Linked DNA regions of Oryctolagus cuniculus. The protein of the gene in region 1 binds, or shares a complex with, the protein of each later gene. Links are inferred from orthologs where the notes say so. Each region holds a gene or a part of one and is shown in the gene's direction. Other genes may lie near its edges. The genes, in order: GEMIN5, SNRPD1, SNRPD2, GEMIN2, GEMIN4 and STRAP.

What was found.
Region 2: GEMIN5 (region 1) and SNRPD1 share a complex: the UniProt entries of both Homo sapiens proteins name them as parts of the SMN-Sm complex. The link is inferred for Oryctolagus cuniculus from reciprocal best matches to the Homo sapiens genes GEMIN5 and SNRPD1.
Region 3: GEMIN5 (region 1) and SNRPD2 share a complex: the UniProt entries of both Homo sapiens proteins name them as parts of the SMN-Sm complex. The link is inferred for Oryctolagus cuniculus from reciprocal best matches to the Homo sapiens genes GEMIN5 and SNRPD2.
Region 4: GEMIN5 (region 1) and GEMIN2 share a complex: the UniProt entries of both Homo sapiens proteins name them as parts of the SMN-Sm complex. The link is inferred for Oryctolagus cuniculus from reciprocal best matches to the Homo sapiens genes GEMIN5 and GEMIN2.
Region 5: GEMIN5 (region 1) and GEMIN4 share a complex: the UniProt entries of both Homo sapiens proteins name them as parts of the SMN-Sm complex. The link is inferred for Oryctolagus cuniculus from reciprocal best matches to the Homo sapiens genes GEMIN5 and GEMIN4.
Region 6: GEMIN5 (region 1) and STRAP share a complex: the UniProt entries of both Homo sapiens proteins name them as parts of the SMN-Sm complex. The link is inferred for Oryctolagus cuniculus from reciprocal best matches to the Homo sapiens genes GEMIN5 and STRAP.

Annotation. Positions count from the first base shown.
Region 1 is NC_091437.1:41,797,243-41,800,742, reverse strand, and holds part of GEMIN5 (gem-associated protein 5), read left to right. Parts: intron 1-423; coding exon 424-509; intron 510-3,108; coding exon 3,109-3,191; intron 3,192-3,500. UniProt on the Homo sapiens protein: The SMN complex catalyzes the assembly of small nuclear ribonucleoproteins (snRNPs), the building blocks of the spliceosome, and thereby plays an important role in the splicing of cellular pre-mRNAs.
Region 2 is NC_091441.1:56,025,113-56,027,460, reverse strand, and holds part of SNRPD1 (small nuclear ribonucleoprotein Sm D1), read left to right. Parts: intron 1-1,556; coding exon 1,557-1,748; intron 1,749-2,348. UniProt on the Homo sapiens protein: Plays a role in pre-mRNA splicing as a core component of the spliceosomal U1, U2, U4 and U5 small nuclear ribonucleoproteins (snRNPs), the building blocks of the spliceosome.
Region 3 is NC_091449.1:11,275,662-11,279,627, forward strand, and holds the start of SNRPD2 (small nuclear ribonucleoprotein Sm D2), read left to right. Parts: upstream 1-1,166; 5' UTR 1,167-1,314; coding exon 1,315-1,316; exon of another isoform or gene 1,317-1,552; intron 1,553-2,523; coding exon 2,524-2,703; intron 2,704-3,966. Other genes in the region: QPCTL (glutaminyl-peptide cyclotransferase-like protein), read right to left, coding at 1-5, 388-582. UniProt on the Homo sapiens protein: Plays a role in pre-mRNA splicing as a core component of the spliceosomal U1, U2, U4 and U5 small nuclear ribonucleoproteins (snRNPs), the building blocks of the spliceosome.
Region 4 is NC_091443.1:36,529,034-36,533,275, reverse strand, and holds the start of GEMIN2 (gem-associated protein 2), read left to right. Parts: upstream 1-1,442; 5' UTR 1,443-1,454; coding exon 1,455-1,627; intron 1,628-1,975; coding exon 1,976-2,060; intron 2,061-4,242. UniProt on the Homo sapiens protein: The SMN complex catalyzes the assembly of small nuclear ribonucleoproteins (snRNPs), the building blocks of the spliceosome, and thereby plays an important role in the splicing of cellular pre-mRNAs.
Region 5 is NC_091448.1:46,442,130-46,446,357, forward strand, and holds the start of GEMIN4 (gem-associated protein 4), read left to right. Parts: upstream 1-1,428; 5' UTR 1,429-1,551; coding exon 1,552-1,561; intron 1,562-2,522; exon of another isoform or gene 2,523-3,668; intron 3,669-4,228. Other genes in the region: diazepam-binding inhibitor-like 5, read right to left, coding at 396-665. UniProt on the Homo sapiens protein: The SMN complex catalyzes the assembly of small nuclear ribonucleoproteins (snRNPs), the building blocks of the spliceosome, and thereby plays an important role in the splicing of cellular pre-mRNAs.
Region 6 is NC_091440.1:113,735,126-113,737,851, forward strand, and holds the end of STRAP (serine-threonine kinase receptor-associated protein), read left to right. Parts: intron 1-336; coding exon 337-402; intron 403-1,657; coding exon 1,658-1,719; 3' UTR 1,720-2,226; downstream 2,227-2,726. UniProt on the Homo sapiens protein: The SMN complex catalyzes the assembly of small nuclear ribonucleoproteins (snRNPs), the building blocks of the spliceosome, and thereby plays an important role in the splicing of cellular pre-mRNAs.

The DNA of each region.
Region 1 (3,500 bases):
TGGCTCTAAAAATTCTGAGTTCCATGCATATAAGGCATTTTCAAGAAAATGGATATTCTGAAAACTATGGGGGAAAATGGAGAATGCATATTCTGAAAAAACTACACATGGATTTCAAAATACTTGAAATTAACTTATGTTTCATTCTGTTTTCCCATGAACATTCTAAAGTACTCTTGTATATCTAAAGTTTATCCATAAAAATGCCTAAAAACACACAAAATTGGTGGATTGGGGGGGGTAGAGATGATTAGATCATGGTAACTTTCATTTTTTATTAAAAATATTAAATTCTTTGTTTTTCTCTTGAAATTGATTACAGTTAGAAGAAATGTCCATTTGAATGGTTGGAGCCTAATGTAAGGACTCCCTTAATGGCATGTCCCTCTTCTCATGTATTCTTATTGGAAACTTTTTTTGTAGCTGTGCTGGCACCCAAACAAGGAAGGTTGCTTAGCTTTTGGAACTGATGATGGAAAAGTGGGATTGTATGACACCTACTCCAGCAAGTAAGAAATGTGTGATTCTCTTCAGCCTGTTGACCAGAATATCAATGATGAAGATCAAAGTGGCATGAATGGCTTTTTTGGAATAAGATTCTGGCTCTGAAACTGAGGTTCAGAACTGAGAATTTTATTTTAAAAAGTTTTCAGGTGGTAGTATTTCAGCACATTTGATATTTGGTAACCACTGAAATAAACCATTATTTTGTTTTATGTGAGTTTTCAAGCATACATTAAAGTCGTAAAATTGGTAAAAGAATATCCATGTCCCTTCTATCTAGATTGATCAATTAACATATGGCCATACGTGTTTTATGTGATTTTATATGTGTTTTATCTGAAACATGTGAAGCAAGTTATAGTTCTCAGAATAAGGACATTCTATATAACTATAATATCCTAGTCACACAAGAAAATTAATAATTTCATAATATGATCTTATATATATAATGAGGTGCTTTTAAAAGTTCATAAAAATGCATATTATGAAAAAATTATGCATGGATTTCAGAAACTTTTTGTTCAAAACTTTTCTGTGAACTTTTCAAAATACCCTCAAGTTATAGCTCACTTTAGGTATCTTTTTTTTTTTTTAAAGGTTTATTTTCTTTATTTGAAAGAGTTACAGAGAAGTAGACAGAGAGAGAGAGAGAGGTCTTCTATGCGCTGGTTCACTCCCCAAATGACCTCAACGACCAAGTCTAGCCCAGGCCAAAACCAGAAGCTAGGAGCTTCTTCCGGGTCTCCCACGTGGGTGCAGGGGTCCAAGGACTTGGGCCATCCTCTGCTGCTTTCCCTGGCCATAGCAGAGAGCTGGATAGAACATGGAAGGGCCAGCACTGTGGCGAAGCAGGTAGAGCCTCCACCTGCACCACTGGTATCCCATATAGGCACCGGTTCAAGTCCTGGCTGTTCCACTTCCAGTCCAGCTCCCTGCTAATCTGCCTGGGAAGGCATCGGAGTATGGCCCAAGTGCTTGGGCCCTTGCACCCATGTGGGAGACTCGGAAGAAGCTCCTAGCTTTGGATCAGCCCAGCTCCAGCCACTGCAGCCCTTTGGGGAGCAAATCAGAGGATGGAAGACCGACCTCCCTCCTTCCCTCCCTCCCTCCCTCCCTCCCTCTCTCTCCCCCTCTCCCTCTCTCCCTCTCCCACTCCCTCTCCCTCTCCCTCCCTCTCTCTCCCTCCCTCCCCCTCCCTCCCCCTCCCCCCTCCCTCCTTCCCTCTATCTGTAACTTTGTCTTCAAATAAGTAAAAAAAAATTTAAAAAGTGGAGCATCTGGCACTCAAACCTGTGCCCATATGGGATGCTGATGCTTCAGGCCAGGGCTTTAACCCACTGAGCCACAGCACTGGCCCCACTTTAGGTATCTTATACATAGCTGTTCTAGAGGTTTGATGAAATTGCAGACCCGTGCAATTCAGTTTGGCAGCCAGTAGCAATATGTGGCTATTTGTACTTAGAATAGTTATAATTAAATAAAATTAGAGGGGCTAGTGTTGTGGTGGGTGCTGGCACTGCTGGCATCCCATACTGGAATGCTGGTTTAAATCCTGGCTGCTCTGCTTCCAGTCCACCTTCTTGCTAATGTACCTAGGAAGGCAGCAAAGGTGGCCCGAGGCTTGGACCCCTGCCACCCATATGGGAGACCGGGATGGAATTCTAGCTCCTAGCTTCTGCTTCACCCAATCTGGCTGTTGTGGCCATTTGGGAAGTGAACCAGCAAGCAAATGGAAGATCGGTCTTCTGTCTGTCCTCTCTATCTGCCTTTTAAATGAATAAATAAATAAATGTTTATTTTAAAAACCCTGCTTATTCTATTCCTTTTAGCCAAAGAAATTTTGGCTCATTATCTAGATTGTTCACTATAAATAAGTCAACAACTAGCTTGGTGATAGTTCTAGAATTCTAAAGTCATACAAGGGATATAATTTATATTAATAGTAATAACAGTGCAGCCCTTTGTTCCCCATGTCATTATCACCATAGTGACCTTAGAAAATATTCTTAAATGCAAGCCTTCTTTACGAGAGAATCAAAAACTACCAGTCTGTCCACCCTGAAATCTTTCAGTTTAAGATTGGGATGTTAGTCTCACTGGGTAAGTCTGAAAATGACTTCTGATCATCTCCATGAATATAAAATAAGGTGAATACATTTGGTTGATAATGATAAATGCTTAGCAATAACCCTAGTTCTGGGCTCAGTGGTATGCATCTTCTGAATTGACACATGGAAAAGACAGCCTATTTTTCTTTAGTTGTGATAACCTTTATGCTTCTGTAAAACTACAGTAATATTGGAGTACTTGACACTTAATTGAAGTGGGCTTTTCAGAATGAGAAATGAGGAAAATGATCCCAAACTGGCTGGATGGGTAGGAGTAGCATTTTTTTCTGGGTAAGATATCTTTAAGACTTCATCATTTTGGTAGCAGAAATCATTATGTAGTTTGTTGTAGTCAAATAGATAGATTAAGATATTGTTAAATTGTTTTTGTCTAATAGCAACTAATTATATAATAGGGACCTTTCAGAAAAATATGGTCTGTTTTACACTAAAAATTTTTTTTAAAAAATCTTTCTGTTTGTCCCCCACCCCATAGACCTCCACAGATTTCCAGCACATATCATAAGAAGACTGTGTACACGCTAGCCTGGGGGCCACCAGTACCCCCCATGTCACTTGGTAAGTGTTTGGGCCATTCTGTTAACAACTATGAGAGTATTCCCTTTTCTTTCTATTAAAGCTGAAAAGAATTCTAAATGCTCTAGTGCAGTGACTGCTTATGTAGTCTGCTGTGTCCTCTAGAGGTCTATAAAGTAGTAGTGGCAGGTCATAAATTGGCCTTGGTGGGAGAAGCCATTCCCCCATGACCCTCCCCAGTCTCAAAAGGAAGCACAGTTCTACTCTTGAAACTGAAATTCTTCATTGTACATAGAGTCAGCTCATTCTGGGTCCTGACCCCAGTCTACTGTTCTTCACTAAAACTTGTCA
Region 2 (2,348 bases), on another chromosome or scaffold:
CTCTCTGCTGTGACCTGGGATGCAGTAGAAGATGGCCCAAGTCCTTGGGCCCCTGCACCCGCATGGGAGACCCCGAGGAGGCTCCTGGCTCCTGGCTTTGGATTGGCGCAGCTCTGGCCATTGCGGCCAATTGGGGAGTGAACCATCGGATGGAAGTGTGGGGAGCAACTGGGAGCAACTCGGACTAGACTAAGTTACTGGAATTAAGACTTATTCTATGCATCTGCTTTCCCACAATATGGCGCTGAGAAGGGAAACAGCTTCTACTCAGCTGCCTCCAGTTCAACCAATAAACTGTGGGACCTGCTCCTGATTGGAGGAGAGCAGCGTACTCGGCGTGTGGGTAGCAGAGTTGGGATTGGTGGAAGGACTATAAAGGAGGAGAGAGACAACATGCACCAGGAACATCTATGGGGAACATCTAAGGGGAACATCTAGCTGAAGGAACACCTGTGCAGCCCCCGAGAAGAGCCGGCCGGCGGTGTGCCGCTCCCCTGCGGAAGTGGGGAATGTGGCCAGGGGGAACTGCCCTTCCACGGAGGTGGAAGGGATAGTAGCCAACCCGGGAAGAACCAGCAGCAAACCCGGGGAGGGCCGAGCAGACGAAAGAACAGCGCAGGGTCTTGTGTCGTTCCTCCACGAAGAGGGGGAGCGACATAATGGTGCCGTGACTCGGATATGAAGCCTAGGCAGGGTTTAGTGTCGTTCCTCCACGAAGAGGGGGAGCGACAGGAAGATTTCTCTCTCACCCGCGCTCGCTCGCGCGCGCTCTCTCTCTCTCTCTCTGCCTCTCCTCTCTGTGTAACTCTGACTTTAAGTAAAATAAATAAATCTTTAAAAAAAGAAAAGTGAGAATAGTAGGGCAGACTTTGTGGCACAGTGGGTTAAACTACCTCTTGGGACTGATTCAAATCCTAGTCCAATCTAGCTTCCTACTGATGCTTATTCTGGGAGGCAGCAGATGATACGTCAAGTGTTTGAGTACCTGCTGCCCACATGGGAGACCTAGAAATTCCAGGTCCCCAGCTTTGGCCTGGCCCTGCCCTGCTGTTTTGGGTGTTTGGGGAATCAAACTGCAGGTGGAGAATCTCTCTGTCTCTGTTGCTGTGCCTTTCAAACAAATAAATTTACATTTTTTTTTAAAAGTGAGGATAACATGGTGGAATGCAATATAATGAAGTTATGGGGACAATATATGACACTTTTTTTTTTTTTTTTTTTTAAAGAATCTTGCCATAAATACTTGGCCAAACCTAAGATAGGAGGAGGATCCTTGGGTTGGTGGGCATAAAGCATGTGTAACAGGCAGGTTTCCACCAGGCTTTCTTCATTCACTTCTGCAAATGTAACTGGCAAAACCTCTAGGAAGGAATGAATACAGACTTAGGCTGACATTCCTCCTCCATTTACCCATTGCATATGTGCTAATTTGTGTTATGGAAACTTCCTTTGTAGCAAATGGTTCTCATCTGTAATATAGTATTTACCATGGCTTCATAGATTAATTGGTTGCCTTCCTTTTCGCGCTAGTAATTGTCCTGCTTTTTCCCTTCCAGGTGTAGATGTCAGCATGAATACGCATCTTAAAGCCGTGAAGATGACCCTGAAGAACAGAGAACCTGTACAGCTGGAAACACTGAGTATTCGAGGGAATAACATTCGCTATTTTATTCTACCGGACAGTTTACCTCTGGATACACTACTTGTGGATGTTGAACCCAAGGTGAAATCTAAGAAAAGGGAAGCTGGTAAGTTCGAGGGATTATATATGCTTTTGTGAATGGTGTACTTATACTCTATTCAGAATACAAATATTTGGCAACAGCACAGGAGGTTTTGTTGTTTTTTAGAATTTTCTTGTCATGTGTGCATCTGTTTATTGTAGCTCCTGATATTACTGTAAAAAAGATTGGTATTTTTATTTCCTGTTTTCTAGTACATGACCTGGTTCCCATTCTTGCCACTTTAGAAGATTTACAGATTGACTCTATTCCTGATATTATGAAATTCCTTAAAGATTTGGCATAGGGTTCTCTTGCCATCACCTCCGATCTTTTCTCCTTTTCTCCCCTTCCATTTTGTTGCTCTGGGTAGTAGACAGACTCCCCCCCCCCCCCCCCCCCCGGCAGAGTTAGTGAGAGAAAGAGAGAGAGAGAGAAAGGTCTTCCTTCCGTTGGTTCACCCCCCAAATGGCCGCTACGGCCGATGTGCTGCAGCCGGTGCACAGTGCCAATCCAAAGTCAGGAGCCAGGTGCTTCCTCCTGGTCTCCCATGCAGGTGCAGGGCCCAAGCACTTGGGCCATCCTCCACTGCACTCCCGGGCCATAGCATTGGGCTGGCCTGGAAGA
Region 3 (3,966 bases), on another chromosome or scaffold:
GGCGTCTAAAGAAGAGAAGAATGAGCGCACTGCTCCCTCCCCCCAAAAGCCCGGGTGCCTCCGCGGCATGGGAGACTTCCAGGATCAAAGTCTCTCCAAGCCCACCCGGTTTAGCCTACCCCTCGATCGTGACATGGAAACCGAAGCCCAGCGAGGGGAAGGGAGGCTTCCAAGAGTTGCCTTTCGGGCGTGGAACCCAAAACCCTCATCCTGACGACTCCGGAGCCTTTCTTTCCAGGGGGCGCGTTGGGAGGGGGCTTGCGCTCCGGGGAGGCAGCCGGTGGCACCTGCGGCCAGGGCCCCAGGTAGCGCCACGTCAAACCGAAACTCGGAAAGAGGAAGCGGGGAGAGAGGGCCCTCCAGTGCCCGCGCCGCGCCCAGCCTCACCCGCGGCAGCTCCTCGGTCCTGCGGTGCCAGCTGCCCCACAGCGTGTAGAGGGCCGAGCCCACGGCCAGCGCCAGCAGCAGCACGGGCAGCAGCTGCGCCCGCGGGAGCAGGCGGCGCTTGAGCGGCGAGCTCGGCTCCATCAGGCCGCGCTCCCCGAGCCGGGGCCGGGGCCGCCCGCGGCCCCCGGGACGCATGGCAGCTTTGCCCTGAAACCGGCCAGGGACCGCGGATGGAGTTCAGGCCCAGCCAAGTCCCACCCCATGGAATCACAAAGCCAATGAGCGACAAGAGCGCCGGGCACCACCCCGGCCCGGCGAGCCGGGTGCAGCTCCCGAGGACAAGCCTCCCCGGAGGCCCGGGGTGTCGCGATTGGCTCCCAGAGGGGTTGCACAACCCCCAGAGGGGACGCGAAGGCGTGCGGCCCGCCCCGGCGGAGCGGGTAAAGCCAATGGGCAGCGCCCGGCCGCGGAAAGGGATTGGTTCCGCGGGACGGGAAGATCCAGCGAGGCGTCAGGCCCCGAAGCCGGGACCGGATTGGCTTCGTGGAGGCCGCGCCCCCGGAGACGGGGCTGGCGGGCATTTAGAAACCTCTGGCCGTTTCCCTCCTGCAGCCTGTCCCGCCTCTACCACGAAGCGGCGCGACTCGGACTCTCTGTCTTGGTCTCTCCATCCCGATGAACACCTGCCCGCTGTGGTCCTTAAAGGCCTCGAACTGCCGCTCGCGGCTTCGGCCCCCTCGCTGCGCAGCCGGCGGGGGTCGCTATGGCAACAAGCCACGCCCCAGCCCGCCGGGTGGGTTTGCGCAGGCGCCCACGGAAGTGGCCCGCCGGAAGCGGAAGTCCCGCCCCTCTCGCGCTCCATCCGCAGAGGCAGAAGCAACGCGGAGGAGGTTGGAGTGAGAGTGACCCGAACGCGGGGCCGGCACCATGTGAGGCCGGGCTGGGCTTAAGCGGCGGGCGTGAGGTTGTGGGTGCGAATGCGGCCGATTAGCGGCGGAAGGGGGCGGCAGCGCCGGGGGCGGAGCAGAGCTCTCGGGCGAATTTTCTGTAATGAGCGTGGGACCGGCCCCCGGGGCCTCTGGCGGACCCTGAGTCCGCGAGGGCCGCCAGCTCTGTGAGAGAACGGGCAGCGGCTCCTCCGCGTCATCAGCTCGCTGGAGTGAAGGTTAAGAAGCGGCTTCTCGAGTTACAGAAGCCGGGGAGCGGGCGCGGGCTTTTAGGCATAGCGATTGGGGGCGAGGGGCTTGGAACGTGAGCTGGGGCCGGGGGCCGTGGCTGCTCGGCCTGATTCGCAACGACGCCGCGGCTGGGGCTGCAGGCTCAGCCGGGGGCCCTGGGAGGGTTCCGAAGAGGCTGCCGTGAGTTAGGCTTGCGCACGGCCCCCAGGCTGCCCCTGGGTGCAGGTAGCCCTGGCACGGAGGTCGGATTCTGCAGCCGGCCGGGGGGAGGGGTACGGCCGGCAGACGCATTGATTCGGCCCTGCCGAGCGGGACTACGGCAGGCTGGTTTTTAAGCCGGCGCCCGAGTGCTGTTCTGAACACCGAGGCTGGCCAGCCCCGAGTGGCCGGGCAGGCCTTTCTCCTGTGACTGTTGCCCGGGCTCCACGGGGTCGCAGCACAGTCAGGTCCCGTTACGCTGTAACCTGGAGATGACTTAGCGAGCGGGAGGTGTGCGCAGGGTGTGTGTGTGTGCGTCCCCGCCATCCCACCTAAGGGATCCGAGCCGCTGAGGCTTCCGGGACCCGGGCAACGCGGATCCTGGGACCAGCCCCCTGTGGATGCCGAGGGACAAGCGTCCGATTGTGGGGCAGTGGGCGTCAGACGCCAGGGGGAGGAAGGTGGGGGCGCCGTAGAGCAAGTCCTGACAGTGGCTGCTGTCCGAGTTGCCGTGGGAGACGAAAGAGGAGTGGACGTCCGCTTCTGCCCGGCCAATGAGAAGGGCGGACTTACCCCCCAGGGAGTGGTGTGCCCTGGGTGCAGCAGGCTGGGGAGGGGGCCTAGCGGGAGCTGAGCCGGGGCGGGCGGGGTTGGGGATGGCTGGTGGCTTCCAGGTGCTGATGCCTAGAGACCAGGCCGGCAGGGCTGGGGGGCGGCCCCGGCTCCTCCCCTCACCCGCGGGTCCCTCCTCCCCCGTCAGGAGCCTCCTCAACAAGCCCAAGAGCGAGATGACCCCCGAGGAGCTGCAGAAGCGGGAGGAGGAGGAGTTCAACACGGGCCCGCTCTCCGTGCTCACGCAGTCGGTCAAGAACAACACGCAGGTGCTCATCAACTGCCGCAACAACAAGAAGCTGCTGGGCCGCGTGAAGGCCTTCGACAGGTGCGCGGCCGGGGGCGGGGCCTGGCCCGGGAGGGAGGGGCCTGCGGGCGGGGCTCCTCCGAGGCCGCGCCTCCCGCCCTGCCCTGCGGTGGGCGCCAGCCGGCCCCTGCTGTGCTGTCCCTCTGAGCGGCCAGGCGACCCTCAGCGCGTGCCGTTATCTTGTCCGCACAGTGGCAGGCAGTCGTCGCGGTGGATACAGAGATGCGGTGACTTAACACGCATGAAGTGCCTGGCCACAGGACACCTTTTGGTTCATTCATTGAAAGAGAAGCGGAGAGACGGAGAGAGCTCCCACCTGCTGGGCACTCCCCGGATGTCCACAGTGGGGCCAGAGCCGGGGGTAGCACGCAGGCAGGCTTTTAATATTTTATTTATTTTGAGAGGTAGAGTTATGGATAGAGACACAGAGAGGTCTTCCATCCGCTGGTTCACTGAGCTGAGCTGACCAGGAGCCAGGAGCTTCTCCTGGTCTACCACGTGGATGCAGGGGCCCAAGCACTTGGGCCATCTTTTGCTTTCCCAGGCCACAGCAGAGAGCTGGATCGAAGAGGAGCAGCCGGGCCTCGAACCGGCACCCTTGTGGGATGCTGGCGCTGCAGGCCAGGGCGTCAGCCCACCAACCACAGCGCCGCCCCCGTGTGTTCTGTGGTGTCTCACTCACGCACTCACCGTGCCCCTGGCCGTCCTTTGTGGTGCCCACAGCCTTGCAGAGGTGCCCCTGGCAGGGCTCGGTCCTGCAGGAGAACCTTCCAGGCGCTCTCCTGCCGCCCGGTTCTGCTGGTCCTGGCCTGAGAACACTGCGGCCAGCGGGCTGTTGCCTGCCCCCTCAGCCCCTCCCACCCGCGACTGAATGCGCAGTGTGTGCAGGTGGGGCGGGTTCATTCAAACAGGCACCTGATGACGGGCGATCTCCTTCCTGCGCCCTCCCTCCAGGGACCGCCCCCCTGGTGGTCACAGATCCGCAGGAGTGTGGTGTGACTGAAACATCACATGTGTTGGAAGATGGGGGCTTCTTAGCCTTTTTTTTTTTTTTTTTTTTTTTTTTGACAGGCAGAGTGGACAGTGAGAGAGAGAGACAGAGAGAAAGGTCTTCCTTTTGCCGTTGGTTCACCCTCCAATGGCCGCCGCGGTCGGCGCGCTGCTGATCCGATGCCAGGAGCCAGGTGCTTTTCCTGATCTCCCATGGGGTGCAGGGCCCAAGCACCTGGGCCATCCTCCACTGCACTCCCTGGCCACAGCAGAGAGCTGGCCTGGAAGAGGGGC
Region 4 (4,242 bases), on another chromosome or scaffold:
AAAGTATTTGTAAGAAAATCCAAAAATGAAGTCATTGCTTATTTTTTCAAATTTCTTCTTATCACCCAAATATTGGGGGACAGGAACACTTAGATGTCTCCATTTCTCTTCTCTTTAAGTCTGTTTTTCCCAAAATCAGTGAAAAAAGAATCTTTAATTCATCTGAAAGGCAGAGCAACATAGAGAGGGGAATAGAGAGAAAAACGGAGAGAATAGAAAAAGAGAGAGAGAGAGATCTTCCATCCATGGGTTCACTCTCCAAATGCCCCCAACAGGCAGGCCTGCTTGAAGACAGATCCAAGAAGCCCGGAACTCCTTCTGGGTCTCCCACGTGGATGGCAGGGATCCAAATACTTAAACCATAACCTTCTCCCTCCCAAGGTACACATTAGCAGGAAATCAAACCAAAGCAGAGTAGCCAGGACTCCAACCAGGCACTCAGATATGAAATGTAGATGACCCAAGCGGCGTCTTAACAGCTGCACCACAATGCCCACCCCAGTGAAAAATTTTTGATCAAATAACTTTCCAGTTTGACAGCAACTGTGTAGCTACAATTGGTAAGTACTACTAATTTCTTAGCTCTTTTAAGAACTGTTCTCCCTTTATCTTCAATTAAATGAGTTACATCCTGGTTGGAAAGCTAAAGGCAGTGCCAAAAAAAAAAAAAAAAAAAAAGTCTTAAAAGTATACACGTTAAAAAATAAAGGTCAATTGTATTCCCTCAGAGTCTGTTTACAAAAGATCAGATATAATACTTCCATTGTTTCTTGCACTTTGTGACTCAGAACAAGTTACTTAATTCATTTCTGTCTTGTTTGCACACCTATAAAATAAAAATAATAATAGCAACCACCTCACAGGATTGACCTAATATTAATAATGGTAATTTCTGAATGCTGGTGCTAGTTTTATCCTTTGATTATTTGTATTTAAGCAAAGAGATTTTTCATTCATTTGGTATCAGGATTGTAATTGCTTGGAAGAAAATCACAGTTGTAGAACTTAACTACTTTTTATGTCGATTTCTTCCCCCTCGAAACCGAAATAATACTAGCTTCTTCACAGGGTTGTTGTGAGAATTAAATGAGGAAATTTATAAAACGATTTTCCTGGGGTTTAAGAATTTAGAGCTCCAAAAATGATAATTATGCAAATACGTGATTTGATCCTAAAGCGTTTAAGGATCGTACACTAATAGGGATGAATAGAAGTTAATAACCCTCAGTCTTTACTCCAGCCTTAAACGAGAAAACACGATGTGAAAACCCGAAAACCGCTTTAGGACAACTTCCAGGAACCAAACCTGCGGCTCACTTTCCCACTGAAGCCTTAACCTCCAGGCAAGTAGTGCCTCTGCTCATGCGCACTTACGCTTTCTAAACTGCCGCAGGCTCTGCAGCGCGCCAAAATACACCTACTTGTGCGCCTGCGCCATGACCTAGACTAGGCGCATGCGCAGGGAGGGACCGGCTGGATTGAAAGCTATGGCGTGGGTACCTTCTTCCGAGTCGGCGGTGGAAGAGTTGATGCCCCGGCTGTTGCCGGTGGAGCCTTGCGACTTGACGGAGGGTTTCGATCCCTCGGTACCCCCAAGGACGCCGCAGGAGTACCTGAGGCGGGTCCAGTGAGTGCTTTGGCCCCGTACGGGTGGGCTCATCGTTCCCCCTGCCGCTGGGCAGGGCCCGTGGTGCCAAAAAGTCCCGTCCCTGTTGTCCCAGTTTATGCTCCGCATCTCTGGGTTACATCCCAAGTGGCGAGTTTCCTTTTAACTTGATAACGGATACCGAGATGTGTGTTCTTGGATTTCTTTGCTTTCAATCCAGATAATGTCAGACATCCCGTGTTTAGTACCCCAGTTGGAATTCTGGATTTTTAATTTCCTAATGAACTGTGGAAGTGGATCGCTTGTTTTACTGCACGCGAACAAAGCGCGATAGTAATTAAATTTCTTGCATTTATTGCTTATTTGTAGGATCGAAGCAGCTCAATGTCCAGATGTTGTGGTAGCTCAGATTGACCCAAAGAAGTTGAAAAGGAAGCAGAGTGTGAATGTTTCTGTGAGTTTTATAATCTTATGGGGATTTCCCTGACACACACATTCTTATAATATCCGAGAGTGTCGACTGTGGTGTACGTGATAGCTGACTGCTTCCTCTGGAGTTAAGCATTGGCTTGCACGCTTTGCCTCTGCCGCCTCGCAAGAACCTTTTCGTGACCTGGAGTTTATATGAAGACTTGCTCATCTTACTTTAGGGACGTGACCCAATACCTAAGGAGCCTTTAAATAGGCTACTTGCACTTTTATTTTTAAGGAACCTTTTTCCAGTTACGTTTTCATAATTACTTCTCTGGTGTTTATTTAGTGTAGTTTGCATGTTCTGAATTTGGCTGGTTTTTGTTTTTCTAAGAATAGAAAGCTGATCTCTTAGGCTTTTCTAGTTATGTGCATTTCTACTTATGGACACTTTTATTTATTTATTCAGCAAGTAGGAAAAGTAAAGTTAGTTGTTTTTGTTGTGACTAGGTTGTGCCAGGCTCTGGGAATACAATACAGGAAGGGATAAAAGATGCCTACCCTGATAGAGCTTACATTCTTCTGAAGAAGTTGGAGTAAACAAACAAAAATTAAAATTATGTATTGTGAATATTGCAGTGAAGAAAATAAACATCTATGATAATAAAAGAGAGAGCCCAGGTGGGCATTGTGGTGCAGCAGGTTGAGCTACGGCTTGGGACACCCATATAATAGTGCTGGTTACTCTGCTTTTGATCCAGCTTCCCAATAATACACTTGGGAAGCAGCAGATCATGGCCCAAGTATTTGAGTTCCTGCCACCCACATGGGAGACCTGCATGGAGTTCCTAACTTTGACCCAGCCCCAGCTGTTGCCATCTTTTGAGAAATAAACCAGGAGCCAGTGCTGTGGAGCAAAGGGTTAGGCTACTGTCTGCAGTGCTGGCATCCTATATGGGCACCAGTTTGGGTCCCAGTTGCCCCACTGATGGTGCACCTGGGAGAACAGTAAAGGATGGCCCAGGCGCTGGGTCCCCTGTCTCCCATGTGGGAGCCTTGGAAGAAGCTCCTGTCTCTGGGCTTTGGCCAGCCGAGCCCTGGCTGTTGGGGCCATTTGGGGAGTGAACCAGCAGATGGAGGATCTCTCTATCTTCTCTGTCTCTGTTTATCCCTCTTTTTCTGTCACTCTGATTTTCAAGTAAATAAATAAACCTTGGGGAGGAGAGAAGGGAGAATTACTTTAGTTGGAATAGTCATGGAAAGTCTATCTAATTTAGATATATCTAAATTATATTTAACCGAAGACCAAATAAAGAATGGCATTTTAAATTTTTATACTGGTATATCCTTTTCTTTCTACATTCTAAGCAATTTCTTTATCTGATATTTAAAATTATGAACATTTTAAATATTAATTTGTTATTACTATTGTTAGAGAGGGAGGGAGTACTTCCATCTACTGGTTCACTCTCCAAGTGCCCAGGATTGGGCTGAAATGAAGTTGGGAGTACAATGCTGGTCTCCCACCTTGGAGGCCAGAATCCAATTATTTGAGCTATCCCCACTGTCTCCCAAGGTCTGCATTAGCAGGAAGCTTGAGTTTGGAGCCAGAGCAGGGAGTGAATCCCTGGCACACCAGTGTAAGACACAGGCATCTTAGCTGTGAGGCCTACCCACTCCTCATCAGACACTAATGGGTTCATATAATTCCTTTTCATAAGTTTTTTAGTTTGTGGAACATGTAGTATGTATCTTACTTTAAAAAAGTGACCCTAATGAGTTTTATTTCAGAACAGTCCTATGTGATCAATTATGGACTATATACTCTTTTGGTAAACAAAAGTAGACTTCTTTTAAAGTCATGTCTTCAAATTATTTGAGTTCATTTTGTCCATACCAAAACTCTTTATTCTGAATATTTTTGTTTCAGTTTTATTATTATAGAAATGTAGGCCTAGATTATATCTCCAGAGATCATGTCATTTAATTTCCTAGAAACTCCCAACTATAAACCATTCCAGATTTCTCTTATTAAATAAAATATAGTGATCTTTTTTCTTACATTTTAAACCAAGACATAAATAGTGCAGTGAAAGGCCTACTTTTGTGTAACTGCAAAATGTACTTTTTGTCTTAGATCTTAGTTATTCTTCATCTTAGTTTTACATGTACCTTACAAAGGCATGGATTCTAGTTATAACACTAACATTGAACCTAACGCCTGT
Region 5 (4,228 bases), on another chromosome or scaffold:
GTTGCCTTTCCCCGGCTGTATTCCGTGGAGCTCCTGGAAGACAGAGCCCTGTTCCCCTCCCTTAGTGTTGGGTTATTGGTCAGTTGAAGAAATTAGGGGTCTAGGGCCACAGCCTCTCTAGAGACCAAGTTGCTGATCTCAGGACAGGCGTGTGCCATGAGTCTCCTCCCAGCCCTGACAAACAGCTCCCATGTTCTGGGCATGGGAGGCTGGGACGGGCACTCAGAACCATGCCGAGAGGAGAGCCAGGGGAGTGGGCTTCTCGGCCCCAAGCCCCCCTTCCACGAGCAGTCGCAGGCACGTGGTCTAAGGGGTTTATTGATGCCCAGCCGTCCCCGCCCCCCTCCAGGGCACTGGAGAAGCACACTCCCTGCCAGGGGAGCCGTGCCGCTTCCCTAGCCAGCCTCAGTTTTCTTCAGCTCTTCCACTTTGGCCACGTAGTTCCTCATGGCATCCATCTTGGACATGCCTTTATTCTTGTTCCACGCCTCCCACTTGGCCGTGGCTTTCACTTCCGACGTAGGAGGCTCGGGGATGTTGCAGTCGCCCTGGGTGGCCTGTTTATAGAGGCTGTACAGCTGCAGCTTCTCCTGATCGCTCATGGGGTTCTTCAGCTGCTTCACGGCCGCGCACGCCAACTCGAACTCTACCTGGCACATTGCCATGCCTGAGGCGCGGCCCCTCTGGCCTTCCTAGCCGGCGCAGGAGCTGCGGGGGGAAGAGTTAGAAACACGTGAGGCCAGTAACGAGGTCTTGGCTAGAAAGGAAAGGGAGACGGCACTGTGTCTGTTCAGGTGTATGGTTTTTTTGTTTGTTTGTTTGTTTTGTTTTTTGACAGGCAGAGTTAGGGAGAGACAGAGAGAAAGGTCTTCCTTCCGTTGGTTCACCCCAAATGGCCGCTATGGCCGGCGCTGCGCTGATCCGAAGGCAGGAGCCAGGTGCTTCTCCTGGTCTCCCATGGGGTGCAGGGCCCAAGCACTTGGGCCATCCTCCACTGCGCTCCCTGGCCACAGCAGAGAGCTGGCCTGGAAGAGGAACAACGGGGACTAGAACCTGGGGTACCGGCGCCGCAGGTGGAGGATTAGCCAAGTGAGCCGAGGCGCCGGCCTCAGGTGCATGTTTTTATCAGTATGGGTGAACTGTGTGCGGGACATACCCGCGCTCCTGTCCTGCGGGACGGTGACTACGAGGCCGGGGGCTCCTGCACAGCACCGACTGGGACCTAGGAAGCCAGGTGGGTGGCCCGGCGGAGCACGCGGCGGGAGAGGAAGACCCCCGGAACCTGCCTGCTGGCTGGAGGGAGGCCTCGGGCCGGGAGGGGGCGCTGTGGGCTTGGCGGCCAAGGCGCCGCGAGCTCTCTGGTGAGGAGCGCGCGTGCGCGCGCAGCGGCGGGAGTCGGCGGCGAACGGCGCGAGAGCGGCGGCAGAGGCCGTGGGCGGGGCCTGCCGCCCCCCGCGCCGCCCATTGTGCGGTGGCGCCTGCGCCGCGCTCCTGGCTTTCGAGGGGGAGGGGCGGCCTGGCGCCCCCCGCGCCACCTCCCGCTTCGCCGCCATGGACCTAGGTGGGTGCCCCGGTTACGCTGCCCCGGGCCGGCCCGCGACGCGCCGCCTCCCGCCGCGCACGCCCGGCGGGCTCGGGCTCGGGCTCCTGGGGCCCTCGTGGTCGGGAGGGGCTGAGGAGGATCCAGGGCGTCCTTAGAGCGGGAGGGCGGCGGCGAGGCCGGGCGCAGCGCTCCTGAGCCGGCCTCCTGCGCCCTCCGGTCCCGCGTCGTACGTGAGAAGCGGAGCGGCGGTAAAGCGAGGTGTCCCGGGAGCGACGGGCTTAGCGCACGTGCAGGGGGCCATGCCGGCCTCGCTAGCTGAGCGTCCGCGGAGTTGCTCAGCGAGTTGCTCACCCACTGGCGTTCCCTGCCGGATAACGTGGGTGTGACGACACCGCGCCGCCCTCGCCGAGTGGCCGGGAGTAAACTTTGGGATCGCCGGGTGCGGAGTGCCCCTGCCGCGGGGCCTGGGCGGAGGCGCGCGGCTGCGGAAGCCCTGCTTTCTTCTGATCTGGGATCCGCTGGCTCAGTGCCCAGATGCCCTGGCACTCAGTCCAGGTCTCCCACTCGGGTGCAGGCACCCAAGTGCTTGAGCCATCACCTGTTGCCTCCCCCGGTGTACATGGTCCGGAAGCCGGATAGGAAGCGGAGCCGGGATTCGAACCCGGGCACTTGGGTCTGGGACGTGGGTGTCCCACTTGGAATATGGTGCTCTTTGAACCTGCCTGCCTGTTGGTTGAGAATCCTGGCAAGGTCTGGAAAAAAGGGAGGGAGGACCTAATAGAAGTCAGTGGCTCCTGCCAAGTGTCCCCACCTGTGGGATATGCCCTTAAACTCGGGTTGAGCCCGGGAGGCAGCTTGAGAAACGCTGATAGTAGTATGGTGTGGAGCAGGGTTTGAGTCTGTCCCCCAGCCAGCTCCTCGTGGTGGTGGAATGACAGATTGGGAAGGGGCATCCCTGCAGCTGTGGCGAATTTTTTTTTTTTTTTTTTTAAGATTTATTTATTTGAGGCTGGCGCCGTGGCTCACTAGGCTAATCCTCTGCCTGTGGCGCCGGCACCCTGGGTTCTAGTCCCGGTTGGGGCGCCGGATTCTGTCCTGGTTGCCCCTCTTCCAGTCCAGCTCTTTGCAGTAGCCCGGGAAGGCAGTGGAGGATGGCCCAGGTCCTTGGGCCCTGCTCCCGCATGGGAGACCAGGAGAAGCACCTGGCTCCTGGCTTCAGATCGACGCAGCACGGCGGCCATAGCGGCCATTTTGGGGGTGAACCAACGGAAAAAGGAAGACCTTTTTCTCTCTCTCTCTCACTGTCTAACTCTGCCTGTCAAAAAAAAAAAAAATTATTTATTTGAAAGGCAGAGTTAGGGAGAAACAGAGAGAGATCGTCCATTCACTGATTCACTCCCCAAATGGCGGCAATGGCTGGGGCTGAGCTAGGCTGAAGCCGGAAGCTTCTTCCAGGTCTCCCACGTGAGTGCAGGGGCCAAAGGACTTGCCCATCTTCCGCTGCTTTCCCAGGTGCATGGTGGGGAGGGCCTCAAACCATTAAGTCACAGTGCCACTGCTTTGTGGTGGTGACACCCTGAGCAAAATACCTGAACATCAACCTCTAAAACAGGAATAGTCCTCAGAAGGTTATTTTGAAGATTAAAAGAGACCTTCCATGTGTACCAGCTAGCACGGTGCCTGGTGTGCGCGGGCACTTAGCAAACATCAGAAGTGGGCACCAGTTAACCATTAGTGATAAAACACTTGGGTTTTTCCCAGTTGCTAACTGTTCCTGGGGCTTGTTCAGGGAGCACTTGGACATTCCTGTGTCTGTTGGGGACCACGCATCTGCTCTGCTGAGCTGATAGTGCGATAAAATTACACTGAGAAGAGTCACAGGTTGGCCGGCGCCGCGGCTCACTAGGCTAATCCTCTGCCTGTGGCGCCGGCACCCCAGATTCTAGTCCAGTTGGGGCACCAGTTCTGTCCTGGTTGCTCCTCTTCCAGTCCAGCTCTCTGCTGTGGCCCAGGAGGGCAGCGGAGGATGGCCCAAGTGCTTGGGCCCTGCACCCGCATGGGAGACCAGGAGGAAGCACCTGGCTCCTGGCTTCGGATCGGCGCAGCGCGCCGAGAAGAGTCACAGGTGAGGAGCCAGCATTTTGGCGTAGCAGGCAGAGCCACTGCCTGCCACACCAGTTCATGTCCCAGCTGCTCCACTTTCAATCCAGCTCCGGACTGATGGCCTGGGAAGAGCAGTGGGAGGAGACCCAGATGAAGCTGCTGTCTTCAGCCTGGCCCGGTGCTGGCCAGAGTGTTCAGTAGGGAGCATACTTTGGGGCTGTGGGAGAGCTGTGGCTGGAGAGAAGAGCCATTGCCCCAGGCAGATCCTTGAGCTCCTCCGCTGAAGGAGGGGGTCTGCCTAGGCGCGGGGGGCCTTCCCAGCCAGGGCGCGGGGGAGTCTCCTCCCTGGGCCTTCCGCCGCCCTTGCAGGGCTGTGTGATTCAGTGTTCCCCATTCAGCATCTTCTCTGCTGGCGTCTGCCCTGTGAAATGGTGAAGAGGTGCTCTTGGGGCTTGGGGGACTGTGCAAGGGCTTGCATCTCTGGGTCCTGGGAAGGGGCGGAGTCAGTGCTGGACAGTGAGCAGTGTTTGCAGTCTGAATTTAGTTCCTGGGCCCGAAGTAACGGACCTGATAAAGACCCGT
Region 6 (2,726 bases), on another chromosome or scaffold:
AAAATTTACTTGTGGACAATATAAAAAATTTACAGGTAAATGTATCTAATCTCTGAATAGTATTACTGATCCTTGCCAAAAAGGTAGACATGATATCTTGATTACTGATCCCAGAGTAGCTACAGTGAGAACCTAAAAGTAATTTTTGAGAAAAGACATACTATTATAGAACCACAGTTATATAAAAAGGAATTTTTCCTATTGTATTTTGTAACTCATTGCTTGTTGTAATCTTATCTTACTCTTCTTACTTATTAAGGACTAAAAATTACTTGAGATATTGACATCATCAGCCATCATTGCCATAATCAATCATCATTGCTTATCTTTCCATAGAAGAAGACAGTGGTGAGCTGGCCAAGCCGAAGATCAATTTCCCAGAGACAGCAGAAGAGGAGCTAGGTAAACTCTAATATTAGAGTGACCGCTTTCAGTCATTCATTTGTTATATACTCATTGGAAAAAGAATCCTAAATGTGAACATAGAAGTATTTAATAATGGAAGGTTTATAGAGTTACATATTTACATGTACTTTTTTATAAACTAAGTCTTTATGTAGTAGGTGTTTACTATGTAGTAGGCACTGAGGTACAGTGTAGACATGTTATTGTTATAGAGTATAACCTAGGAGACAGATGTTGTTTTAGCACAGTATTTAGACACATGACCACAATTTTAAGGCCAGTAAGAGAAAGCTTCTAGGAGAAGTAACATTTAAACTTGGACCTGAGGATTAGCAGAATGACTAAGGTAATGAGTGACATAGGTAGTATGAGCAGGGCAGGGAGGTTAACAGCATGAAAGAAACAAAGGCTCAGAAGCAGAAAGGAGCACAGCATAGGAGGAACCACAAGAAATTCATTGTTTCCAGTTAAAAAGCAAGGGCATAGTGTGGCTGGAGAAGCTAGATCATTCAGAGCCTCGTTTGCTATTTTAAGACTCGAGTTTTATTCCAAGTACAATGAGAAACCCTTGAATTTTAAGAATAATAATAGTTAATAAATTGTGGAAACAAGAGTAAACATAGACCAGATAGGTGTCACTGCATTCTAGATGAACAATCCTTGGTTTAGAATTGGGGAACAGCGTTGAGAACAGAAAAAGGTAGATGAAGGAGAGTCATTTCTTTTAGAATTGATAAAACTTGGTAAGTTTATTAGATGTACATTGGAAGTATGATAAGAAAGATTCGAGATTGCTGGCATGACAAACTGGGTGTGATGATTGAAGGGGGAACTTGGGAAGAGATTTAGCATTTACGAGGAATTTTTCTTTATTAAGTATTTTTTTGTAAAAAACTTAATGTTTGATGGTTAATGTTTTGATTTTGAATAGCATTAAATATTGAGGTTTGAATCACTAAAGGAAAGAGCCATATCTTTTAAAGAGATGACTTTAATTCAGTGTTCATTGGATAGCTAGAGTTGTTGAAAATTTAGTCCAGAAACTGTGACCCGTAGAAGTTAAGTTACGATTGTAACCATGAACGTGTTCTTCCTTGTTTTTTCAATGGCATGAATTTAGTCATTGAAGACATGTGTAGTTGTTCACTTTTTCTCCTCCCTCACCACAGTTCTTCTTCAAAAGATCTTTACTTTTTATATAGAATTTTATAGTTGCTTCTTTGTTAAACTAATGTATGTTTTTTAATTGTAGAAGAAATTGCTTCAGAGAATTCAGATTCCATCTATTCTTCAACTCCTGAAGTAAAGGCCTGAGCATGAAGCATTTGCCACAGATAATATACAGTTTATGGACTAAGATGAGCAAGCAGAGAATAGCGTCAGCCTCCCAGAGTTACTCTCTGCTTAGGACAACCACAGCAGTAAATAATGGGGAATATGAATTAGCTTGAGTTTCGGAACTACTAACGTGGTGTTACCTGTAAGTGAAAACTCAGGAGTATCTGACGAAGGCAGGTGGAGTTATGCTATTATAATACAACAGCCTGTTGTCTTTTTAATGAATATGTGCAAGCCAACATCCAATTTCTCTTATTACAATTAGATTTCTTGTAGCTGTTTATGTTATTATGGAAAAGAAAAATATATTGGCCTATTTTTCTGACTTTCCCTTACAGCAGAATGCTTTTTTTTTTCCTTTTCTTTACTTGCAAAGAAGAGGGAATACATGATAAAGTAACTGGTTTGATTTCTTTTCATTGTACCTGCTTCAGAACATCTAATTGTTTTTAGTTGTCTAAATAAAATGTCTCTAAAACAAAAGAGTGTTTGTTTCTTTGGGAAAAACTGATAGATATATCTAGAAATAGCCTGAACGTTTTTCTACATTGTAACCATAGCAAAAGGCAGTTTGCTTGAAGAATCTGTAGTGAACGTTGTTTCCTAATTTTGAAATTAAGTGGCCGGCGCCACGGCTCAATAGGCTAATCCTCCAACCTCGCGGCGCCGGCACACTGGGTTCTAGTCCCGGTCGGGGCGCCGGATTCTTTCCCGGTTGCCCCTCTTCCAGGCCAGCTCTCTGCTGTGGCCCAGGAAGGCAGTGGAGGATGGCCCAAGTGCTTGGGCCCTGCACCCCATGGGAGACCAGGAGAAGCACCTGACTCCTGCCTTTGGATCCAGCGCAGTGTGCCAGCCGCAGCACGCCAGCCATGGCGGCCATTGGAGGGTGAACCAATGGCTAAAGGAAGACCTTTCTCTCTGTCTCTCTCTCACTGTCCACTCTGCCTGTCAAAAAAAAAAAAAGTACTGAATTTTTGAAATTT